Linked DNA regions of Oryctolagus cuniculus. The protein of the gene in region 2 interacts with the protein of the main gene of each other region in a biochemical or structural test. Links are inferred from orthologs where the notes say so. Each region holds a gene or a part of one and is shown on either strand. Other genes may lie near its edges.

The links.
Region 1: of the proteins of PARP1 (region 2) and H1-5, one has a biochemical effect on the other in vitro, tested with the Homo sapiens proteins (2 studies listed by BioGRID). The link is inferred for Oryctolagus cuniculus from reciprocal best matches to the Homo sapiens genes PARP1 and H1-5.

Annotation. Positions count from the first base shown.
Region 1 is NC_091436.1:169,837,258-169,840,548, forward strand, and holds H1-5 (histone H1.5), read right to left. Parts: upstream 2,400-3,291; 5' UTR 2,344-2,399; coding exon 1,666-2,343; 3' UTR 585-1,665; downstream 1-584. UniProt on the Homo sapiens protein: Histone H1 protein binds to linker DNA between nucleosomes forming the macromolecular structure known as the chromatin fiber. Histones H1 are necessary for the condensation of nucleosome chains into higher-order structured fibers.
Region 2 is NC_091444.1:39,020,459-39,024,203, forward strand, and holds the start of PARP1 (poly [ADP-ribose] polymerase 1), read left to right. Parts: upstream 1-1,373; 5' UTR 1,374-1,489; coding exon 1,490-1,609; intron 1,610-1,693; exon of another isoform or gene 1,694-2,405; intron 2,406-3,745. UniProt on the Homo sapiens protein: Poly-ADP-ribosyltransferase that mediates poly-ADP-ribosylation of proteins and plays a key role in DNA repair.

The DNA.
Region 1 (3,291 bases), on a different chromosome or scaffold from region 2:
AAGTGGCCGTATGTGTTAGGAACTGGTCTCCTGATTTCAAAGCTGGATACTAGTGAAAGTCCCATAAGCCAGCCATGATAGAGGAGACAGGCAATGCTGGTTAGAAATGGATTACAAAGGAAAAGGCAGTCTAGAAAGGATGTACACTTCTGAGACTCCTGAAGCATGAAGCCACAGGAAGCTCAATACCTACACGCACGGTGACGGTGTTGGGCAGTTTGCAGAACGTCGTTTCCACACCGATTAATTTAACGTCAAAGGCAAGATGCTCTGCCAGCCGGGACGCTGCGAGCCTGCACGTGAGGAAAGGCCTCCTGGCCTTTTGGTTTACAATTTCCCTTCTTACGGAAAACACAGTAAGGGGGAGTAGCGGGAAATGAAGCCTGGGGCCGATTCAGAGACGCAAAAGACGGAAAACGGCGACCAAGTGAAAACAGTAAACGCCGTCCCTTAAAGGGAAAGATTAACAGGAGCGTGAACGGGAGCTGGAACTCCAGATAGAGGAACCGCGCGGGAAAGGCATGGAGGCGGGGGGAGGCGAGAGGACCTCGGCCCCACAGGGACAGGCGTTCAGAGGCGCCGGCAGCCTGTAAATGGCGGGCCCAGCACCTGCGGTAGCGGCGAGGACCCACCCTCCCTCCCTAACTGGTGAGAAAAGGGGATTCATTGGGTTGAACTTCATTCTCCTTCTCGACTTCAGCATCACTAGTTCATCTTTGTGCCGATTAAAGCTAGGTCCCCGATGTCATGACGCCCGAGGCATAGGACTAGTGGCAGCCGTCGGGGTGCTCCTGCTGGTGTGCCTTGTATACGTACGTGGATGCGCCTGCACTGGCCCTTGGTGGTGAGCTAGCAGCCTAGCTCCTGGCAAGAGGGAGACGCAAAGACAAACCAGCCTACGGAGGGCGGCGAGAAGAGCCCGCCACGGCTCTTCATTTACGGGACGCTATGCACAGAACACAAGGCAGCTAGCTGTCCGCGACTGCGTCACATATGCGTCACCCAATCGAAGGCTCTACCCTACATCACCCTATTCCATTGGCCTAAATGAAAACAGCGCAGGAGCCAATCGCACGGCCACCTCTTCGCGCTCAGCAGAAGCAGCAACATAATCTACTTTCTACTTGCAGCTTTCGGCTGCGTGTTTAACTATGTCCGGACGCGGCAGGCAGAGGCGAGGTGCGCATCAAGGCCAAGACGCGGCATCCCGGGCCGGGTTGCAGTTCCCCGTGGGCCACGTGGACCGGCTGCTGCGCAAGGGCAACCGCGCGGAGCGGGGGGGGCGCCCGTGCACCTGGCGGCCGAGACCCTGGAGCTGGCGGGCTACGCAGTGCGCAACAAGACGCGCACCTGCAGTTACCATCCGCAACGAGCTTAAAGCTGCGCGTCGGCTTGTGCCCGCATCGAAGGCTCTTTTCAGAGCCATGGAAACCGCTCCTGGAGAGCCAACGTCCCCCGGGGCCAGGTGGCGAGGGCTACCCCCGACAGGCGAGTGGGGGGGGACACTACACTCCGTGGAATGGTAGGGCACTCGAAGCCCACATAGCTACGTGCGAGCCTGGCTGGACACGAGCGAAGGGTGGACAGACAGCTCTCTCCAGAGGTCTCTGGGTGGCTCTGAAAAGAGCCTTTGGGGCTTGGTCGGTGGCCAGACGGCGCAGCTTTTTACTTCTTCTTGGCGGCCGTCTTCTTGGCCTTCGCGGCCTTGGGCTTGGCGGCCTTGGGCTTGGGAGCCTTGGGCTTGGCGGCCTTCGGCTTCACAGCCTTGGGCTTGGCGGGGCTCTTGGCCGCCTTCTTGGGCTTGGCCGCAGCCTTGGCCTTCTTGGGGCTCTTGGCCACCTTCTTGACGGCCGCCGCCGCGGGCTTCTTGGCCTTCTTGGGCGTCTTCTTCACCGCCTTCTTGGCCCCCGCGGCCTTCTTGGGCTTCTTGGGGGTGGCGCCCGCGGGCTTCTTGGGCTTGGCCGCGCCCGCCTTCTTGGCCTTGGGCTTGGCCTCGCCAGACGCTGCCTTCTTGTTGAGCTTGAAGGAGCCCGAGGCGCCGGTGCCTTTGGTCTGCACCAGGGTGCCCTTGCTCACCAGGCTCTTGAGGCCCAGCTTGATGCGGCTGTTGTTCTTCTCCACGTCGTAGCCGCCCGCCGCCAGCGCCTTCTTGAGCGCGGCCAGCGAGAGCCCGTTGCGCTCCTTGGAGGCGGCCACGGCCTTGGTGATCAGCTCGGACACCGGGGGCCCGGCGGCCTTGCGCTTCGCCGCGCCCGCGCCCGGTTTCTTGGCCGCCTTCTTCTTGGCGGGGGACTTCTCGGCAGGCGCCGGAGCGGCGGTCTCGGCAGGAGCGGCTTCCGACATGGCGGCAGGAGTCGCTGCGGAGCCCAGAGCACAAGTTTTGGCGATGCCGCCTCGCTCGGGTCGGGGCTTATATAAGCCGGCGCTGCCTCGTGATTGGTGGAGCGTCCAATCCGCCGCCCTCGGGCCGCCGCCGCTCGAGGCTGCGTCTCCAGGTTGTGTTTGTTCGTCCCCGAAATTCGATTAAATGCAGAAAACATCGGCACGGAATTTGACGCTTAGGCGTTCCAAAGGAGGAAACCAGCCCCCAGGTTCACGGACTTGTTTGTGGGTTCGTCAACCGAGCGCAATGGAGGCGGGATATTCTTAAAAATCCCTGCGGCGTTTGGTGAGAACCCCTTGGGCTGACGGTATCCTGCTACTTAGTTGCAAGTTGCAATAAATTTCGAACAAGTATCCAGCGAACAGCGTTTAGAAGGGTTTATTCCTAGTGTCAGCCTTTGATTCCTAGAAGAGGAGCGGCGCTGGGTTCCTTGGTTTGGACGGAAACATTGTTTCTAGCTGTAGCAAGTAGCACAGGGAGTGCGCAGCTGGCTGTCTGCAGCCTCACGCCGGTCACACCGAACTGGCTGTAAAGACAGTTTATGGGGGCCGAGGAGGTCTTCAGGGAATGAGGTTTTCAGCTTGGGAAATCTGGGTTTTCAGAGCGATTGTTGCGAATAGCAACCGGAGGGTCAGAAAAGCCCTTGACTTTAGAATCCAACTCCTTGAAATCAAACTCTAAATTTTGTACATTTCCTAATTAGGATACTTACTTTAATTGCTGGTTTAAATCTATTAAAATAGACATGATATTTAACAGATAATTTGCATTACCAAAACAACCTCTCAAGTATGAAAAATGAACCAGGTCGCCTAGTAACCTAATAAGCGCACGAGTGCTTAAAGATGTAGGGTGATGTCTGGTCTCCGAAGCGTTCTTCCCAATGTCTGCACTGATTTCCGACAGCA
Region 2 (3,745 bases):
AGATGACAACAATATATGATAGACTAGGGCCAGTGTCATGGTACAACAGGTTAAACTGCCCATCGCAAGGTGGGCATCCATCTCAGTGTGCCAATTTAAGACTCTGCTACTCTGCTTCTGATCCAGCTTCCCCTTAATGTACCTGGGAGGCAGCAGAAGATAACCCAAATGCTTGGGCCTCTGTCATCTAGTGTGTAACTTATGCCCATGTCTCCCAGCCTACTAAACACCCAAGATTCTCAAGCTACTAGCTTCCTTCTTTATGCTTAACTCTATCCAGTTGCCTTCATCCTGTCTTTTCTTGTCCTCTGTAAGCATAACTGAATATTCATACATACAGCACGCTTATGTTACAATGTTTTAAGTGAATAACATGCACGGGATTTCTTTTTAAAGAATCATTGGGTTTATTTATTTATTTATTTTTTTGACAGGCAGAGAGGACAGTGAGAGAGAAAGAAAGGTCTTCCTTTGCCGTTGGTTCACCCTCCAATGGCCACTGCGGCCGGCGCACCGCGCTGATCGAAGCCAGGAGCCAGGTGCTTCTCCTGGTCTCCCATGTGGGTGCAGGGCCCAAGCACTTGGGCCATCCTCCACTGCACTCCCTGGCCACAGCAGAGAGCTGGCCTGGAAGAGGGGCAACCGGGACAGAATCCGGTGCCCCGACCGGGACTAGAACCCGGTGTGCCGGCGCCGCAAGGCGGAGCATTAGCCTAGTGAGCCACGGCGCCAGCCAGCGGTAGTTTTTTTTTTTTTTTTTTTTTTTTTAAACATAGTTCTAGATTAAATCCGACCTAGTGGCGACAGGTCTAGCAATTACCACAATTTCAAGTTAGCGAGGAGCTTAATGTTTAGAGCGCTCGCTCTGCACCACTGCACGTGGCTAATCCTCCCGGGAGCTGCGTCCTGCATTTCTAGGCCAGAACCAAGGAAAATACACTTCCGAGGCTGTTCGGTCCCAGCCGTCTTGGGGCTGCAAATTCGCATGCCTGCCCAGGGCCGGGCCAACGTTTCCTAGCCAGCCCCTTGCCTTCTCGGATCCCAGAGGGCACCTTCTCAAAACGGGTCGGGGCAGAATTCGAGGCGAGAATGCGTCAGCCTACCCCGGATAAAACAGTTAAAGAGGTGGCGCGCTCCAAGCCCCGCCCCGGCCCCCGGCAGCCGCTGGAGGAGCTAGAACCGCACACGCGGCCCGCCCCGCAGACGCCCCGCGGGCGTCTGGGAAACGGCGGCTCCTGCGGCCAGCGAGGGGCGCGCGCTAGCTGCCCGCCCCTTGAACGCCGGCGCCGGGGGCGTGCCCGCGGCCAGGCATCAGCAATCTATCGGCGAGCGACGGCGGCGGTCGGCGCGGCGTGCTCAGGGGCGGCCCTAGGCGCTCGGGCGTCTGCGGGCGGCGCACGGGTGGGCGGCGCGCGCGCGCGGGGCGGCGAGGCGGCGTCGGCGGCGGTGTCGGCGGGCTCCGGGGGCCAGGGTGAGCGAGAGCTGGAGGATGGCGGAGTCTTCGGACAAGCTCTACCGAGTGGAATACGCCAAGAGCGGGCGCGCCTCCTGCAAGAAATGCAGCGAGAGCATCCCCAAGGACTCGCTCCGGATGGCCATCATGGTGCAGGTGCGGGCGGCGCGGGCCGTTTTGTGGGCGGCACGGCGTGGGAGGGCGGAGGGCCCCTCCGGGGGCCCGCGGGGGCCTCGGGGCGGCGCGCAGGGCCTGTGGGCGCTGCTGCGGCTCCCGGTGCGGCGTGCGGCCCACCTGGTGGACCCTTCCGGGAGGTCCGCTCATCCAGCATGAAAAACCCGGGAAACAGACCCGGTAGCGGGTGATTCCTTACGCGCTCGTCGCCATAAGGAGCCGCTTCTCTGGTTTTTGGGCGGTGCAGGAGTTCTTATTTTACTGCTGTTGGCCTCAGGGCGAGGAAAACGTGTGCCGGACCTTCTGAAGCGGCTCTGATTTTTGACCTGCCTTGTTCTCCAAGGTTTTTGGCCTACGTCTCCCAGCCAGACTGGCTGGTGGGGATTTTTTTCGTTTCTTAAACTAATTTTGGCTCCCCTTGCAACAGCCGCTGTCGTATTTTGAATCCTAATTATGCGAAACCTGTGCAGGGCAGTGGCATTTTTGTGTAGTGCGTTCGTTTTGGGCCTGATTTGTGGTTTTAAGGTATTTTCCCCAAACTTTCCAGATTCACACACTCATTCTTTTGCTGCATTTGCGGCTATTTCGAGTGGTCATCTGGACTTTTTGATCGATTGGGGATCCTCTGATGTTGTTCGCAGAGGTTCAGAGATGGGCAGCTGGGGGGTTGGGACTGGCCCCTGCCAGTGTGCCTTTTCGATCCTGATTCTCACCTGCCACGGAAAGATTGTCACCTTCAACGGAAAGATTCTACCCTGGCTTAGTGCTCAGGGCCCAGGTAATTTGGCTTCTGCGGTGCTTTTTAGGGGTGCTTGGCCAGCTCCTCCATAGGCTTCTCAGTACTGAACAGGGCACCAGAGCGGGACACATGGACCAAGTGGGTCCCAAGTGCCGGCTCTGCCTGCGTTGCCTGATTTCACAGCCTGTCGGGGGCTGAGGCTGCCCTCTTGGAATCCCCAGAGCCTCCCCCGGCGCAGTACCTGGCACACAGCCCCAGTACTGTTCCTCCAATGGACGTGTACTGAGTACCTGGTAAGTTCTAGGCCCTGTGTTAGGGTCTAGTGACGCAAGGAAAATCCACCCTCGGGAGCTGTGAGGAAGTGGGTGACACGAGATGGAGCTCCAGGAGAGCAGCCGGAGGTGAACAGGGCTGGGGGGGAGGGGTGAGGATAGAGGAGTACCCGGGGCTTAACAGTTGGAAGCACGGGGAGAGCCTTATCCCCCCCACTAAGTTCTTTGGGTTTGCCCTGAGTACAGGAGACAGCCTATTCAAAGTTGGCAAGGGTCCTGTGCCTGGTGTCTGGGACATTGGGCTCCAGAAGTCCTTGCATTCAGATGAGAAAAAATTTACATCTCTGTTTTCCCTGAACTCGAGGTGAAACACCTTATTTCCTCTAATCCTGATTGTAAGCAGCTACGCAAAGGCATAGTAACAGTACCTGGATTTTCTCCTTGTTTATTTCTGAGGCAGAGTTAGAGAGTCTGAGTGCAAGGGAGAGCGAGATCTTCCGTCTGCTGGTTCACTCCCCAATTGGCTGCAGTATCTGGGCCAGGCTGAAGCCAGGAATTCTGACTGGGTTTCCCATGTGGTTGGCAGGGGCCCCTGTACGTGGGCCATCATCTGCTGCTTTCCCAGATGCATTAGCGGGGAGCTAAATCAGAAGTGGAGCAGCTGGTTCTCAGACCAGTGCCCTGATACGGATGCCAGCATCACAGGCTGGAGCTTAACCCCTCTGTGCTGCAGCGCCATCCCAGACCTATGATTTTTATCACCACTGGTAATTATAATATTTTCATGCTGCTTTATGGCTGGGGCTATGTCAAAATCTTGACAAAATTACAGTAGCTATTAGCATGAGCTCTAGGTCTGGCTATTTATAACTTTAAAGTGCATCAGTTACTGTAATCCCAATTTACTTTAATGTTTGATTGTTTTTCAGTAGAATCCATTTCCTTTGTGAGCTTGCATATTTTAGAAAGGGCCAGCCTTGGAGGACTCTGTTCTAGTGGAAATGTCAGCCAGGAGGAACTTGAACCCGATAAAGCTGAATGGTACTGGGCCCTCCTTGATAGGGAAAGAGACTAGGGAGTTTCAGTTCTGAATGTCAAGTTGCTGGG